4 linked regions of the Arabidopsis thaliana genome follow. The protein of the gene in region 3 interacts with the protein of the main gene of each other region in a pairwise test. Each region holds a gene or a part of one and is shown on either strand. Other genes may lie near its edges.

Region 1 (3,899 bases), 9.3 Mb from region 3:
CACATTTTCATTAATCTATGGGCTTGAATGGTTTACCGTATACCAGTTCACGTGGTCACGTTTTTAAAACGTGATTCCGCTATTTTTACCTTTCAAAATTTTATCAAGTTTTAACGTTTTCATGTTTAAAAAAATGATTCCATTATATAGCACTAGCGTATTAAAAATTATAACTAAGAAACGTGATTAATCTACAATAACTAGTTTTTTTTAGCAATTTATAATCATTCTACATAAACTTTCTTTAGTTCATTTCATTCAGCTAACCATTATTTAGTTATTCTATTGTTCAGCTATCCATCTCACATACCAATCAAACCCATCAAAACGAGAAAACTCTAAACTAAGGGGTAAAGACTTGACTGGTACATTAGTTGAATAACTGAACAATACAATAGCGGAATCACCAGGACGACAAAATTCAAAACGGAATAAACTTAACACGCCAAAAAGCTACTTAATAAATGACTTTGTCTAAACTAGTTAGTTATACATTTAACACATGCGAAATAGATTGGAAAATAGCTTATTAATTTTCACGGTTTATCACTCCGTGGTTATTATTGTGAATGGTATACACTCGGCAAAATCACGTTTTGAAACACATGAACATGCAAATAAGACACATACCATTCAAGCCCTATATTATTTTGAATTATTCATAAAATTGAAAAATTTGACACAAAAAATTGTTATCGTGTTACCAAAGCAATTTTTATCGGTAATACTCAATTATGACCAGAACATATACTACTTCCCCACTTTTTGCTTCAATTTTGATTACTTCATCAGTTCTGCCATTTACATGCAAGGTACCAAAAAAACTTTTTTTTTTTCTTTCGGGTTAACCACCGAAAATCATATAACGTTAAATGAAAATGTTGAAAACAATAAGATATGCAATTGTATCAGAATTCAGAAAGTAATGAGAAGAAACAATTCGATATAAAAAGATTACAAAAACTATAAAATGACCAAAGTAAAACACACACTAATACACAAATCTCATGTCTTAAAGGACGCCATTGGTTGTAGAGAACCACAACTCAATTTCCACGGTGTACGTCTACAATCTCCAACCGCTATTCCCGCGTTTGCGTTCTGATCGTCGACACAATCGCCACCACCACTCTGCGTCAGCGTTAAACTCGTCGTAGCAATCATATTCTCTAAATCGCTAACGTAACTCGAGAGCCAAATCTTCTCCGATCTAAGACCCGCGTTCTCCGTTTCGACCGAGTCAAGCCTCTGTTTTACAGCTCGACATCTCTCACTGTTCTCTTTGATTCGTCGTTCAAGACTGGAGATCTCATGAATCGTGTCTTCCATTAACTTCTGTTTCTTCAAACGCGACCTCCTTGCAGATTCGCGGTTTGATAACTTGCGTTTTCTTTTCTTCTCATCTATGTCGGAACCTGAACTTGTCTTCTCTGCGTTTGCCATGTTTTTTTGTTCAAGAGATAACGTAAAACCAATGAAGAATCACAACTGATATAGAATGATAAACAAGGAATTGGTTGAGATTTATCATTTCATAACTCTGTCCATTGTCTTTTCATAACTCAAGAACTCAAGAATTTCAAGACAAGAAAAAAGAATTTCAAGAATCTGTGATTTTGCGAGGATCAAGAGAAATTAAACAAGAAGATCTTTATTTATGATTACGTTTGATTTTAAGAGAAGAGAAGAGATTAGTTAGAAGAGAAATAGAACAAGGAAGAAGATAAGGATAAGATCGAAAATAAGGAAAGTGGGAGAAGTTGTTCGTTTTAGGTTGCTCTTATTTATAGATTTAACATTATAAAAAAAAATCTCGAATTTTTACATTAGAAAAGATTATCCAAATTGTATAAGAAAGGAAGATTCATCGAATGACGAATCGGAAAAGAAAGAGAATTTTAGTCAAACATTTTTATTTTTTACTTTTTTGGTTTATTGTTTTTATTTTATTTTATTTTTATTAGGACATAACAGCTAAATAGGTGTTGGTGTTGTTCCTTAATAGGTGACCAGTAATTACTATTTTTGCTTTTTAGCATTTAAATTGTTGTTTTGTTGTGCATTTAGTTGTCACACTCGTAGGATAATTCAAGAAATATCCTACGAAAACTAGATTCTATAACCTTCTAATTATGTATATATACTTGTCCAAATTTAATTCATCGTTTTGTAAGTCCCTTTTTCTGCAACTCCAGTAAAAATAGAGTATGATTGTCTAAAATCAGTAAACTGGATCAGTTAATGTCAGTGGGTAATGCATTAGCTGACATAAACACGTTCCGATCATTATTTCTTCTTAGTTCGGTTTTAACTACTAAGCATTTCAAAAAGTTACACAACCATTTTAAATTTTAAATTGCTAATGGGACAAAAATACCTCATTTAGAAAGAATCATACGTACGTAAACTATATCGTCAATGAAACACGAAGTTCTTTTGGAATTGGACAGGTTAAACGTGGAGCAATGACCGACTATTTTTAGTGTTTTTAATTTTGGGGATTTAGAGATTACGCTTAACATGGTTGACAATTTTATTATTAAAGAAAATTATCCATGTTGAAAGCAAAATTCCATTTGATATTACTTTTGTGTGGGTCTTATCTGAAATGATTTTAGTAAACTAAAAGAAAGAGACTGTATATATTGATAAGCCAGCCCTGCTTTCTTTTCAAATGAAAATACAAAACAATAGAAGATGGGCGATAATTTATTAATTAATATAATACTTGAAAATACACGATCCTTATCTGCTCACCGATAAACTATATATCATTATTTATTTATCAGATAAATAAAATACTTCAATATAATTATTTTTCATAAAAAAAAAGTAGATGCACTTCATTGGTTGGCTAGTTTTAGAAATTTGTTTAGGTTCTACGGACCTTTTGTTCGGGTCTGAGTCAATCTTGATATTTGAGGTTTTGAACAAACTAGAAAAAAATGAAAAAACTAATGCAGAAATCTACATGTAAATTGCTGTTAATTGTTATTTTATTTTAAGTGTTTATAACGTGGTAAAGTATATTAAAAGTTTTATTTAGATAACAAATTTATTATTATTTTTGTTTGACATATTTTCATTAATAAGATCTGATCTATAGATAATCCCTAACTATTATCCAAATAACGTGATTTAATAAAGTCAAACTCCAGTAGAAAATGTGGAGTTAAATAGGTTTAACCAATTGACTATTACCACCATTATTGTTTAAACTACTGGTTACATATTTCTTTGTTTTTTTTATGAAATTTGTTAAATTTGTAATCATATACATGATATATTGAAATTTAATGTTTTGGGTTTTAGGGAGTGTTGTAGTTTCTCTTTTTTTTGCCATTGATATTTCTCTATCAACTTTCTTAATTATTTTTTTAATTATTAGTTCCAAATTGTGGTTGAAACTTAGTGGTTTGTTTTAAAAGTGTTGTTGTCATATTAGAATCCTAATTTATAGTTTAAAATGTATGTGTATAAACTAAATGATAGAATAAACATGCAAGTTTTTTTTTTGAACCCTATATCTAATTTTAAGAAGACAAGTACAAAACAGAAATAAAACTTCTCAAATTCTAACACATTTATCTAAGAACGTGAACTAAATCAAGTTTAACAAATAAAAACATTTGCTCCTGTTTATCGTATTAAGAAAGTTTGCATTCTTATTTTTGTTTTCTTTGTTTTAACAGTAGTTTTGTGTGTGCTCTAGAAAGTCAATCAAGTGTTTCAAATATAGAATTTTATAATCCTTCTAACGTTATAGCAAATACCTATGTGTACAGAATATATATATATGATTTATCGTCTTCGACTTCTTTGTATACAGACATTTATAATCTTTTAATGGGTTCAATATAGATAATTGCTGATCCGACAATTAGTATATTCTCGTAGTT
Region 2 (4,609 bases), on a different chromosome or scaffold from region 3:
TAAATGACGAGAATACTCGTGTTTTACTTTCACAGTTCCAAAGATTAGTGTAGACTTTGTTTTAAGAAAATTAATATTAGTGTTGACCTTAGTTTGAGATTCATCGATAAAAAAAAAAAAAAAAAGAACGTATGTTATGAAAATTTCAGATCCAAATGGCACAACACATAATAATGAACTGGTTTAGCAATGATATGATTTCCCTTAACCACTTCATGAAATATTAAGTGAATTTGTGAATGATCGGGATTTGAGATCAAAGAATTGGCATTCAGATATTTAAAGGATCAAAGAAACGAAATGATTGAGAATAACGAGATCATATGGCCTCGTACGTAAGAGCATCTTCATCGACAAAAGTGGTAGAGAATATCTCAAAAAATAAATAAATTAGTATTTTAATTAAATTAATATATTTTAATTAGTTTAAAGTAAATAAACCATTAGTTGAATGACAACTCTCAATAAATGCTAAGAATCGTCTCTTTTGCCAGAAACGGTTCGCCACTTTTCTTTCTTTCTCTCTTGTTTTTTTTCTTTTTAATTATTATTTATTTGATGAGTATCTCAATCAGATACTTCGATGGAGATGGTATAAAATTCTTAAAAAAGAAAAAAACTCGAGTGACCCATGATAACAACTCATTTTGATGTAAGTACCAAAATGCATAATTATTTTATCACATCGGGAAAATATAGTCTCTAACACAATAATCACAACACACCATTTCTATATAGTATTTTAAATGGACCACCGCCATCTACAAAAACCGTCCACGAGCTTTCACATTATTTTCATTTATTTCACTAATAGCCAAAATTTCATCTTTCTAATAAGAGCAACAATAACTCCCAAATAAGGAAACAGAAAACTCTAAGAAAATGACAAAATATTATTTCTTCACTTTTAATATATAGAAAGAAAAGATCTTAAAATATTTGTACCAAACTCACATCACCATCTCCATGATATCACACATTTCTTACACTGTCTATCATTACAATCAGTTTTAAACACTAATTAACCATCTTATAAAATAAAGAAACAAAGCATCATCACATAATTTATAAGAAAAATTACAGTTTTACCCCTGCTGCGATGATTAGTCTCACTCACGATGATAATGATGTGAAGTTTTCTAACAGTTGAAAACATCACCAGCAGTAGAAGCAGAAGCCATGATTGGTTGATTATAAAACCCTAGATTCATAGGATTCATCACGCCGTCGAATAATCCACCGTCGAATAATCCCTGACCGGTCTCCATACCGAATCCTGAAGAAGAAGATTCGACGAAATCAACGATCTCGTTAAGAGATTGGAGACGGTGGTTAAGTTCAAGAACCTGAGCTCTGAGAATGTCGTTCTCCGCCTCGATAGTGACGTAGTGCTGCGTCGTGACGGCGATTCCGGCGACGATCTGAGCGTTTTCTTTACGTAGATGAGTCACCTGAGCAGTGAGATCATCCAAATGCTTCTGCTTCCTCATCCTCGACCTCCTCGCAGATTCTCTGTTCGACTGTTTCCTCTTTCTCTTCCGCTCGTCGATTAGATCACGTTGCCGGAGATCAGATTCTGAACCGGAGTTAGCTAAACCAGTGGTTGAAACCGACGAGCAATTTCCACTTGTGGAAGATCCCATTTCAGTTTTATTATTCATATTAAAACACACAGAGAAAATTAAGTACTATGATTAAGACGCAGGACCCAAAGTTTATTATGTAAAAAGATTATAGTATATAGTTTTAATATATTATTATGGTTATAGAATATATAATAATAAAGGGCTAAAGGAGAGCTGATTTATGAGAAAACATAGAACCAGTAGAGAAAGACGACGGAGAAAGATTGAACAAGATGGGTCCTGCGTCTAAGAGACGAGTCTATAGTTAAACCAGATCTAAGGATTTCACTAATCACCGGAGACATGAATGTTTGAACATCAAGATCCACAAGAGTTTTGCCACATCAAATATTTATCAAACGCAAACTGATTACTAGTGTTTTTTTCTAGAGAAAACTGAAAAGAGAGAAAATATAAAAAGGTAGAAGAAAACGAGGAAGACAAAATAAAAACGCTAAAGAAGAGAGAGTGATTGATTCGAGAGCGAAGGGGAAGAGGTGAATTAAGGATTTGTGAGGGGATTTTATAGAGTTAGCAAAAAGGGTTTAGAGCATACTAGATTTAATAAGAAAATAAAGAGAGTATAAAGTGAATATCAGAAAGAAGGTGTTGAGAGATGAAGCATGTGAAGTGGGATTTTCCGAAACAGTCAAGTTACAGCTGTTTTGCAATATTTTATTTATATATTTATGTGTATGGGTTTAATTGTAAATTAATGATTCTGTATAATTAACCAATAACTATTTTTAGACATTTTTAATATGGAAAAGGAAAGAATCTTCGGTATTGGGTATCCTATTTTGTGAAAAGTTTTGATTTTTAAAATCTTCAAATTTTATTCTCTGATGAAAACAACGCGTTTAATTAATTTTGGTCAAATGATGGCTTTCAACAATATTACAGTAACACTGATAATAATAGTTTTGTATTAATGCTAACTTTTACTGCTAAAGAATCTTAAAGATAATAATAATAAGAATAATTGAAACTTTTGTCGTTGGTTCTCGACTTCTTTTTAATACATCAAAATCACCGCCCAAAGTACCAGAATTAACCGTTGAGCAACGGACACCTGGAGCATGAGACAAATCATGAATGAGGGTAGAGGTGGTATTTTCGTTATTTAATTTCTTATACATATATCTTTTTGTCAATAATTCAATCAATTTCGCTGTCCAAAAAAATAATATATATATTTAGGATAATAAATTAATAGTTTAGAAAACTATCAACTAACCAGCCGTTGAATTTATCGCCGTATGAAGCATCAAAATTAGAACTATTATTATCTTTACAATATTTCTATAACGTTTTGGAGTCCACTATAAAATATCAAGTTACATATCGAAAAGAAAAGACAAAAAGAAAAAACAATAAACTTTAAACGAGTAAATTACAGTACGGTAAAAAACTACTATTTGACAACAAAAAGAAGAACATATATACATTATCTAAACATTAAGGGTGTCAAAAACTTTAACTCATTGAACTTCATGTGACCGACGTGTTGTGGTACGTATAGTTACATAACATTGGATTGTAGAATCCAAGACGTAAATTCGTGTCAATTTATAAAATAATTTTATTGTGTGTAACATATTACATGTGGACCATGACTACTTAATCATTTGGTTTTGGTGCTTTAACTGAAATGGTTTGTGAGAAACTCTTTACCAAATTTTTTTGTTCATCCTCGAGCTCGTAATTAATCAAACATTTCGGCAAAACTTTGATATCTATAAATCTCATAAAAAGATTGAAATAAGAATAATACGTACTCATCTACAGCTCTATAACTTACAATAATATTATATACTAAATTTTGTAAAACACACATATATATATAGCTTAATTAATTGAATAGGAAAATTATGTAAGATGGACCGTCATAGTACGGACATCTCACGTGCAATTGCAATGCAAAGAGTGCGTGCTCTGTGCGCATGTGGACCCATGTCAAACATCGCAGTTGAGATGTAAGATCGACACGTGTCATTTTATTATTGAAAATGGATTTTTAAAAAGAAAAAATGTTGGTTCAATCGAATAAGTGAAGTCTAACGTTAATTAGGTATTTCCAATTAATGAATGTGTCCCTGCAAACATTGCAACAGGTAAGAAAAAGTAATTTGTACTAATTTGTCTTCTTCACACAATGCTTATTTGGCCTTATTTTTTTAAAAAATCTTTCATTTTAAATGAAAAATTAATTTTATTCGATACAGAAACATAATTTTCTTTACAAAATCGAAGATTTTTCAGATACCCAAGGTTTCATCGAACTAATTAAGATATCTCAAATATATTTATCATAACGCAAAATCAATTGAATAAATAAATAAAAATGCGACATGTATTGGAAAGGCAAAAGATCCCACTATAAATTAATGTCTAAAATACAAATGGTTACCACTTACCATAAAAATAATAATCGTCACCTCAATAATTTTTCATTCAACAAAAAGATTGTTGTTATTGCTTTCTACTAAGGCATATCACATCTTCTTTTTTTTTTGGGCAACAGGCATATCACATCTAATTTCATAAAATAAAAACTGATGTAGAGACTGTTTTATTTTATATATAGTATTACACACACAAAAAAATAAAAATCATACAACCATAATAGCCGAGATAATATTATTTAATATTAATGTTTATTACTTATTATGTCAAATAAATTATCAATAAAACTAGTTCACCTAACTAATTTAATTAGATAAATATCTTAAGAAATTTCAGAATATTGCTTGCTTAACTCAGTTCTATATGAAACAAAATTTTATCAGAATATATATTATATACTTAGAACCTATATTTTGACATAGTAATTCAATTAAAAAGGTGTAACTAATACTATGCAGGTTATAAACTAACGACCATTTTACTAAGTTTCGCTTTGAATCTCATGATAATGCCAAAAGTCATAAAAACTATCAAAGTTTGGTAAGTGGTGTGTGTAGTGTGAAGTCTCTTTTTACCCA
Region 3 (5,229 bases):
TCTTCTCGCGGATTCCAGAGTTTAATAGATTTGAAGATTCAAGGACATCGGTTTTCTACCTTTTCAAAAACGCTGCAAATGGATCTGGTGAAATACGGAGTAAGAAGCTGAAATCTGTTGGAATCAAGTGCTGAAAATGGTGATTTTCCTCACTGAAATTCTTTTGAATCTGACCGGATTTTTCCATTTTTGGTGGCAAGTCGGTTGTTTTCCACCACTCCTTTGTGCAATAACACGTGGGACGTGGCTAACACGTGTCTCATTTTAAACCTAGTCTTAATTTGATGTATTATTGTATGGGTTTAGTTTGGACTTATATCATGGGGTTTTGGATCCACAAATTTCACCTATACTTCTCTTATAATTTGCCCTTTTGGGTTAGTAATCAAAGAAATTGTCGACAAAAAAAAATACGTCAAAAGTACTCCTAAATTTTATATAATATACAAAATTTCTAAATATTTCATGAATATTAATTCTACAAAAGAGCATATTAATTCTTATTAGAGATGTTTTATCCGATCTGAACCAAATCAAAATAATCGATACGAAAAAACGAACATAATTGAATATCTTAAATCATAATTTAAAGGTTACTTTGAAAAAAAATATAAATTAATAAGGTTTAATTATAGTTATTTTATTTATATATATATTTATAATCTAATTCGGATTTAAACAAAAATTATTGATAGAAACCCGATTCTAAGAGCCGAAATTTGGGATTAAACTCGTAATTTCTAGTTTCAATAACCAAAATTATACGTTTGCATCGTTGCCTCATCACCATTTCAATAGTTTCACTAGGTGAAATTGATAAAACTTGTAATTCTTAACAGAAATTAGAAAAACTTTGTAAATTTAACAAAAGACATGTACAATGAAAATTAGAAGTTCAACACAAACAATCAACGAAGAAGACAAAAAAAAATTTAAATAATCTGAAAAAACAATTCTTTACAAAAACATACAACATTTTGTCTTAACATATGTCTTAAGATTAATGTTACAAATCAAGATTCTTCTTTAACAGCTACTGATCCCCAACGCTTCGAATACGTTTCTGCAGATGTTCCAAGCTCTCAACTCTACGCATCGAAGCTGTTCTGTTCATCTTGCACCCTATCAAGGCCTTGCCTTTGTTCCCCGAGCTAATGATCTCTGGTGTAGTCACTTGGCTGCTTGTAGTGTCTGGAGAATTTGATGTCTCTGAAGGAAGAGAGACAGTTGAAACAATCTGAGGCATATTGTGGAACATTGGGTTAAAGCCAGTGAGTCTCTTCACTGTCTCTTCAGCCATTTTCACCTGCCAAAAACAAACATGCTTCAATAGCGAGTTTTGGTAGACAGAGAGATAAAAGAAAGTATTTTACCTTTGCTCGTAGTGTCTCAATATTGGCTTTTAAAACTCTGTTTTCTACAGATGCATCATTGAATGTTTGAGTTACATCAGTGAGACCCTTCATGAGTTTTGAATTCTCTACACGAAGCTGTGAAACCTACACGAAATGGAGATTGTCGCACAAGTGAGCTAAACAAAGTTAAAGGAGAAAGAATAAGAACGCTGCGAGAGTAACATACTTGTGTCTCTAGCTCACTCAAGTGTGCTTGCTTTCTTCTTCTGGACCGTCTAGCTGATTCTCTATTAGAGAGCATCCTATAACAAACAAATTCACGTTCATGTTCATGTTCAAGTCCAAGAAAGGATGTAAATTTGTTACCTTTTAACGCGTTTAACATTAGTAGGGTTCATATTAGTTTCACCATCAGCTTCTTCTTCATCACCAGAGAGCTCAGATCCACTTGTTATAGCACTGCTCATCATTGGTGTAGCTGCATACAGATTGGTCCATTAGCATTTACAAGAAATCTTGAAAACAAACACAACAACTATCAATAACATCTTAAAAGGCTTATCATAGATGTATTGTAAAACCTTTGGAAGAAGCAAGAGAGGCTTGTTCTGATTCATTGGCTCCACCATTGTCAGATCTACCAGAAGTATCCTGAGGTTTGATGAAAGTTCCCTATCAAATTTTCAATATTAACACCACAAAATCAATTAACTAATGCAAATTATAATCTCAAGGAAGATAATGGCAAATCATATACAAAAGGTCCAATAAGATCTTAACACTCAAACATAACAAAACAAGATTAGTTTCTTAGCTTCAAGTGAACTCATCAAACTAACAGATAAAAAGGTTTTGTTTTTCTTTTTCTATGAAAAAAAAAAAAACTCAAACTTGAGCAGAGTAGTGAGTACCCTTTTCATGGCGACAGCAGCACAAGCAAGATTAAGTTTACTCTTGAGAAATGCTCTGTATTCCTCTGAATCTACAGGAACATTAGGAGGAGAGGAGACGGAAACACCACACGCCGTCGTAGATTCTCCGTCGTCTGCAGCGGCGGAGGATTCTTGTATGAAACGATTGAATGCCCATTCGGAAGCACTGCGATTCAACGACGTCATTCCATTAACCGACCAGTGATGGTTACCGGAGATTTCTTCGTCGGAGAAAACTTTTTCCATCTTTTCTCTTTTGTAATTTGTTTGTTTCTTTAGTTTTATTTATTTTTTTTTGGTTTCAAATTGTCAAAACAGTTTCTTCTTATCCGATTGGGCAGTCTTGCATTTTAATAATATGTTCTTTTCAAGTTTTGTTGTTTTGTTAGATATTTAATTGTCTGATTATTACCCTAATGGCCCCGACAAGAGTCGTGTATTTCTATTTACAGCAAAAACTTTTGATTTATTCTGTTAGGTCACTGTTTTCTTGTAGTATCTTAAAAAACGACAGGTCATAATACAAAAAATTATAACGATTTTTATTAACAACAGAACTAATAATAAATAAAAGGAAAAAAGTATCTGGAAATATGGTTTTAGTTATACTAATTTTTCTACTTTTTAGAACAATTTTTAGTTTATAAGATATATAGAATGGAAAAAATAATTAAAGTGTCAAACTTTTTTTTTTCTTTCTTAAAACATGTTTTTAAAAAAGGTGAGATTCGCCTACAGTTACAACGAATAATAATATTAAGATACACAAATTAAAATAGAAAAAACTGATCAGAGTCAAAAAAGAAAATTGTATCCTAGTGGACAATGGAAAACGGAGAATCTACTGCTTAACCCACCTTATCTCAATATCTTTCTTCGATCTCACAATGGCCGACACAATGACCGAGCTACGAGAAAAAATTGTTACTATCACCAACGTCCTCTACCATAAAGGGATTTTTCGAGGTAAGGGATTTTACTCACTCTTGAGCACTCAAGATAAATTCCAAGATTAGCGGTAAAAATCAAAAATAATCGAAAATTTTAAATTTAAAAACGATTCTTTAAGAAAGAAAAAACCGTTAGAAACGATGTAATGATTGTAATTTTTCAGACCATTTTATAAAAAAAATAAATAATATTATTAAGAAAACAAAAATTATTAAGATTATCAGAAATGCAGTCTCCTTCACAAACTTCATTGCCTAATTGTTTACTCAAATGTGTAATATATATCGATCTTATATTCCACGTTTGAAAGGGGACGATTAGGGGTTCATATTTATAAACAACAAATGTTGGTGTATAATTGATAAAAACAGAAGAATATGAGGAGCTTAAAGTAATATTTAAAATATACATGTAATAATATTTGTTTATGCCTTATTGGATTTAATAATATTTTTTTCAACGCTTTTTGGGGCAAATCCAAGTCAGACTGACGTGGCAAGGGGTATTTTAGTCAATTTAAATTTTGATCTGCATCACAAGAATATATAAATAATAAATATTATAGTTGTCGTCGGTTTTGTAACGTAACTTCATTTCATGGGTCCATTTAATATTCCCATTTGCATTTTACAAAGGAAAGGAGAGATCCGAGAGGAACATAATATATAGTTTTGTAAGTGAAGTTAGATTAGAGAAATGTACTAAACTTCTGATTTTTGGATAAGAATCTATCCAAATTCAAGTTGCATATTTTGGTGGGTCCTTTATTTTTGCATATATTAGTACACTTGTGCAAAACCTTTTATCAAGAGAATATCTAGTGAGAGAGAAACATAACACTTGCAAACCAAGTGGATGTTGGTGGTTTGACTTTGAGAATATCAGTAGTTCAACTCTATTTGAAAGAATGATTTACGTTTTATCAAAGTACGTCTCTATTACACCATTAGTAGAATTTTGTAGACTTTTCTATGTTAAAGTGGTTTAGAAAAATCTCAAACTGTATAATTTCGTGTGACATTTTGTCTTATTTTAGGAAGAATTATTATGTAGGTTAGGTTATGAATCAATTTCTAAATCATTCTTATTTTGACCTGGTGTCATGTTTAAGGTTTATTAAAAATCCGATGAATGGACTATTCAACGGCTACACTCAGAGTTGGTCCTAAAACCCAAAATATTTTTTGCCTATAAATATTTAAAATATAGCAAAATGATGCATTGGAGACTTAAACCTATAACATGAGAAACAAAAAAACCCGGAAAAATCACTGTCCTACAAGAAATTTATAGTTTTGGTGCTTTCAAAATGAAATATATATTTTGAGGCTTAAAACCCTTAATTGTTCAGCTTTAGATTAGGACAGACAGTGGATACATTTACTTTGAAAAAGTTTGTCGATGGTAAAACTGGAACACCCCTGATTATCAGATTTTTTTTTTTGTTGTCTTACTTTCAAAAGAGTAGGTTTATCTGTTCAAGAAACTATTTCTACATTTTTTTGTGGATTTTTTTCGTGTCGTGTATGGGTTATTTATTCGTTGGTTTGTTTTTCTTTTTCCGTATAATGCTGAAAGATTTGGAAAATAGAACATTGCCAAAAAAAAAAGATATGCATGCAGCTAGGCCGGTGGGATCAATTAGTGGGCCTAATGAAACGTGTTGGCTCATACATTTGGGATATATGGCCCCATTTTTTAGCAACAAGGCTCAATAGCCACATGAAATATTTATATTTTGTTCATGTTTCTAACGAACAAATATTTGAATATCATTCGGACCACATTTTCTTGGACAGCAATGTTTGGATTGCTTAAATAATATTGAGTACTAATATTCATATTTTTTTGTGTGGCTGTGGTTTATAACATAATGTTATAGTCAATTTCGCTCAATTTGTTTGTTAATATTTTGGAGTTGTAAATAACTAAATACTAAAATAGAAAGAATTTGAAATTCTTAGCAGAGAGAGTACAAAAGCTTACTAAAA
Region 4 (4,748 bases), on a different chromosome or scaffold from region 3:
AAAAATGATTATGCAAATTAAGATTAACGACGATGAGCGGTTGGTCTATGTCGGTTAGTTTTGTATAATGAGATTTCAAGATCCGAAGAAAATTTTGACCTTTTAAAAATTTAACCCAATTTTGTGAGAGTATCCCCGGAATTTTGGAGGTTGGCATGATTAGATATCAACTATCAAGTGTGTCGTACCATTCATGTAATTTCTTTTTTACTAATTTTGTTATATTTCTTTTTAACTGTTTTGATTTATTTATAAATAGACTAAAAAGTATGTTGAGTGAATATGTTTGGTGAAATTCATGCATCGTTTTTGGGAAGTGGGCTGGATCAGTGGATCTCTTCCACACTTTCCCAAACTAATAAAGAGAAACTGAAAATAAATAAAAAACGAAAAAAGTTAAATTATTTAATCGTAATTTAAATTTTGTAAAACAATTTTTATAACTAAAACACCATCTGTGGTAAGACGGTGGAATACATTAAGAATGTAGTATTAAATTACTACTCTACAAGTACTTAACTAATTATTATAATCCTTACATATTATCAGCATCTGAATAATTAACCCAGATTAATACGTATAAATCTTTCACAAATTGGAGAATAAGATTAGGAAATGAAAACAGCTGTATTGAGTCTGGAGAGTTCGTATCCCAACCTCACATGTCCCTCTCACCTTTTCTTCTTCTTCGGCCTACTTACACATGTTCTTCTCATTTTACTCTAAGCACAGATTCTTTTGTATTTCTTAATCTCTTTTTATTTTTATTTCAGGTTTTTTTTCATTTGATTATTCACAAATTAACTATTTTATTTAGTGTTGGTGGTAATTGATTTTTAATTAGTTTCATAGATTTCTGCAGACAAATTCTGGCTTTCATGTTTTTCTTTTTGCTTTTTTTTTTAATAATAATTCGCATTACAAATATATCATTAATTTTTCTTTCTCTTTTGTCGTTACGTGAAAATAGATTTGCTGTGTGTTTTTTTTCTCCCGACAAATATAGACTTAGAGCATTTCCATCGCGAGTTTCTGGATTCTGGTCTATTAAAACAGAACAAAAAATTCAAAAAATGTGGAGAGAAAGTAAAAACGTTTCTCACTTGAGAAACTCATTTTTGCTTTTGTTTTGTTTTGATTGGTTCAAATAATAATTAAAAAAATAAATAATAAAATAATAATAAAATTTATATTATTTTATAAAAATGGGTTTCTCACCGATGGAGATGGTCTTACTGTTTTACTGAAGAAGATTTAATAAAGTTCTCGCTTCTTTTTTCCTCTGAGCTTAACTTTTTACTTTTTGTGATAATAAAAAGAAGAAAACAAAGAAAAAGTTTTGTTTTCCTCTAAAACAAAGAATAGTTTTATCTGCAATCTTTGTAAAAGAAACTGTACTTTGTTTTTTTTTTCAATTTCTTTCCTCCTAAGAAATCACAGTACTAAACAAAACCAAAAGAAAAAAAAAAAAAATTTAGGCAGGTCAATTTTTAAGCTGGTCTGTTTTTGTGTGAGCTTTAATTTTCTGTCTTTGAAATATCTTTATCTACCACGACAGTTTATAAAATTTGAAAGGGAAATTTATTTGGTATTAGGTTTCTAAGAACTTCAATAAAGCTATATTTTCAATTACTTGTTATTAAATGCAAAAAAAAATCTAAATGGATGTTTAGGTATAACTGCAACAAAATTTATGGAAAAAACAAGACTTGATGAATGTATAATCTCAAGAGTTATTTTAAGCATAAATTTAAATCTAAATTTTCTATTTAAAATTATTTGATGAATTTTTCTATTTTTAATTATGATAAATGCAAGATTCATAGTATCTAAATTTAATACAGTATATGATTAGGCTTTTCATTAAACAATATAAATATTTTTTTTATCTTGACATAATGATGAGTAAATAATTTACCAACTAAATACATATAATTTTTGATCAATACCATTCAAAAGAAGAAAAAACACTTTCTCTTACTTATCTTTGAATTAATTTTGAAATATTTCATTAAGAAAAATTAATTGTTTAAAATATTGCTTTGATTAATGTAGACACTCTAGAAAACTTTTTAAAGGTTAGGGAAAAAATGTTACCAAAAAAAAGTTAGGAAAAAAATGTAAAAATAAAGAAAAGAATCTTCTTCCCCTAATAGAATCCAAACAAATGTATCGCTTACCATCAAGTTGCACAAACACTCAAAACGCTTTTTGATGATTTTTCTTCTATAAAATCTTTCTCCTCAACCATTTCAAAGCCCCCTCTTCTCTCCTTCTCTCCCTTTTCTCTCTCTCTCGAAGATATCGCCTTTAATTCCTTCTTCTTCTTCTGATTTCTTCAAAGATTCATTTCTTAGAGATCTCAGCTTCTGTAAGAGTAGGCTAGCTACCAAAAAAAAAGAAATAGAAAAAAACATTGATGCTTAATCAGCAGTTCTTGGTGTTTGAGACACATGTCTCCAATAATACTCAGTGAGATCTTTCTCTCTGGGTTTATGTTAAATTCCACAATCAGGCGCAGGACCCATCTTGTTCAATCTTTCTCTGTTGTCTTCCTTTACTGGCTTTACTATGTCTCATGATCTCTGAACTTATCTCCAGTTTTATATCTATACGCATAATTACAACAAAACCCTAGTTTCTTTTCAAATTTCTCTTCTTCGTTTTTCGTCATCTGGGTCCTGTCCTGTTCTGTTGTGTCTTGTTCTGTTCTGTTTTTAATTCCCCTAAAAACCCATTTTAAAATATTTTATCTCTCTTCTCTTAAAAAAAACTCTTCCCTGTTTTTGTTTGTGTGTTACTAAATGGAATCGTCGTCGTCGGGAACAACTTCGTCGACGATTCAAACGTCGTCAGGATCGGAGGAGAGTCTCATGGAGCAGAGGAAACGTAAACGGATGCTCTCAAACCGTGAATCTGCAAGGAGATCAAGAATGAAGAAACAAAAGCTCCTAGACGATCTAACGGCTCAGGTTAATCATCTGAAAAAAGAGAACACGGAGATCGTGACAAGTGTCAGCATCACAACGCAACACTACCTAACCGTTGAAGCAGAGAACTCTGTTCTCAGAGCTCAGCTTGATGAACTTAACCACAGGCTCCAATCTCTCAACGACATCATCGAGTTCCTCGACAGTAGCAACAACAACAACAACAACAACATGGGCATGTGTTCGAACCCTCTGGTTGGTTTGGAGTGTGATGATTTCTTCGTGAATCAGATGAACATGTCTTATATTATGAACCAGCCTCTCATGGCGTCTTCTGATGCTTTAATGTATTAAATGTGGACCTAAAAACCCCCTCGAAATCACAAAGAAATGGGGCCGTTTTTATTTGTCCGATTTAGAGACATGTCCAAAGAGAGAGATTTATATATAAAAATGGGTCTGTTGTTTGATTTGTTTCCATTTCAAATTTTTGTTTGTTTGGGTCCGTTTTAGGCGTTAGGTATCTCTAAGCATCATCGTTATGAGTGTGTCTGTAATAAAGGCTCTGTTGCCGCATGAGTACAAAGTGTTTTCTTAATATTGTAATATGCTTATTACTTTCTTTTTATTCTTAAGTACTAATCCCATTTTTATATAATTTCTTGAGCATTAATAGTAAAGTAATAAAATGTATCGTAGTAAGAGTTTCGCATGTAACGTACGCTCTACAGAATCATGTTTCACGCCAATCAAACATTATAGTAGGCAGATGAAATATCAATGATAAAATAGCTTGTAATTTTGGGTAATCTTCAACTCGCCAAAGTAAAATTTTAAAAAGGTGTTAATGTTGATTAAGGTGTTTTTAGTCATGAACGAGTGTGGATGATATTAGATTCAGTTTATAGATTTGGATCTATTCTTAAGAAGAAGACTTACGAAATTCAAAACTTTTAAGAATCTAGATGAATTGAGGGTTGGTAGGTTAATGTTGTAATAAGAAGAAACCTTATTTTCTTTTTGATCTGGAAAAAGATAAACAACATATAACATCTTACATAAAATCCTTTTATGTCTGAAGATCTCTCAGAATAAGAAATGAAACTGTGCAGATTCTTGTAAAATATTTTAAACTTATTTCTTGTGAATTTTGGAGATTTTTTTTGTGTGCTAGACTTATAGGTGAAATCATAGCCTCTTGTATTCTTTGCTTTTACACATCATCTTTTAATTGATTTTCTTATCTCAAATTTCTTTTTGGGATTTTAAATTTCACAGTTCCATTTATCACCAATAGATCCATATACAAGTACATCACAAAATAATGGTTATACTACATCGTGAGTAATAATGGGAATCCTATTCTACCCTTTTGGCAGAACTATACTTTTTGTTGCTGGATAGTTTGTTTTATATCCATTGATCACGGATGGTTCATTTCATAAATATTATAAATAGAAAGCCTCTTTTTATTTTATATGAAGAAGTCTTCTATTTGATAATTGCGGTATATATTTTTTACCTTTATTTCAAGTTTAGTATTCCTTCTTGAGAATATCGTACATGTGTCGACAGACTCGAGAGATTATAAAAAGGCATCTTATGTGTTTTGATCTAGCTAGGCTCTTAGGAACATTGAAAAGATATGTAATTCATTGCTTACTGTTTGTAGTTTCGAAGATAATAAAGACCCAAAACGTAAGTTAAGTGAAGGGGTTAATTATTAAAAAAAAAACTAACAGAATGTGAAGTACTAAAGGAGATAGTTGATAAAAACCAGAATATCATTTTATACTAGCTAGAGTATACGCACTAAAT

What was found.
Region 1: the proteins of BZO2H3 (region 3) and bZIP1 interact in binary tests that used the Arabidopsis thaliana proteins (3 or more experiments, as listed by UniProt).
Region 2: the proteins of BZO2H3 (region 3) and bZIP44 interact in binary tests that used the Arabidopsis thaliana proteins (3 or more experiments, as listed by UniProt).
Region 4: the proteins of BZO2H3 (region 3) and GBF6 interact in binary tests that used the Arabidopsis thaliana proteins (3 or more experiments, as listed by UniProt).

What each region holds. Positions count from the first base shown.
Region 1 is NC_003076.8:20,049,689-20,053,587, reverse strand, and holds bZIP1 (basic leucine-zipper 1), read right to left. Parts: upstream 1,760-3,899; 5' UTR 1,444-1,759; coding exon 1,006-1,443; 3' UTR 853-1,005; downstream 1-852. UniProt on the Arabidopsis thaliana protein: Transcription factor that binds to the C-box-like motif (5'-TGCTGACGTCA-3') and G-box-like motif (5'-CCACGTGGCC-3'), ABRE elements, of gene promoters involved in sugar signaling.
Region 2 is NC_003070.9:28,289,276-28,293,884, reverse strand, and holds bZIP44 (basic leucine-zipper 44), read right to left. Parts: upstream 2,188-4,609; 5' UTR 1,662-2,187; coding exon 1,140-1,661; 3' UTR 877-1,139; downstream 1-876. UniProt on the Arabidopsis thaliana protein: Transcription factor that binds to the DNA G-box motif 5'-CACGTG-3' of MAN7 promoter. Involved in the positive regulation of seed germination through MAN7 gene activation.
Region 3 is NC_003076.8:10,795,615-10,800,843, forward strand, and holds BZO2H3 (bZIP transcription factor family protein), read right to left. Parts: upstream 2,692-5,229; 5' UTR 2,534-2,691; coding exon 2,267-2,533; intron 2,028-2,266; coding exon 1,937-2,027; intron 1,834-1,936; coding exon 1,722-1,833; intron 1,658-1,721; coding exon 1,582-1,657; coding exon of another isoform or gene 1,500-1,581; coding exon 1,374-1,499; coding exon of another isoform or gene 1,307-1,373; coding exon 1,034-1,306; 3' UTR 843-1,033; downstream 1-842. UniProt on the Arabidopsis thaliana protein: Transcription factor involved in controlling responses to starvation. BZIP2-BZIP63-KIN10 complex binds to the ETFQO promoter to up-regulate its transcription.
Region 4 is NC_003075.7:16,519,645-16,524,392, forward strand, and holds GBF6 (G-box binding factor 6), read left to right. Parts: upstream 1-2,216; 5' UTR 2,217-2,804; coding exon 2,805-3,284; 3' UTR 3,285-3,586; downstream 3,587-4,748. UniProt on the Arabidopsis thaliana protein: Transcription factor that binds to the DNA sequence 5'-ACTCAT-3' in target gene promoters. Promotes POX1/PRODH1 expression in response to hypoosmolarity stress.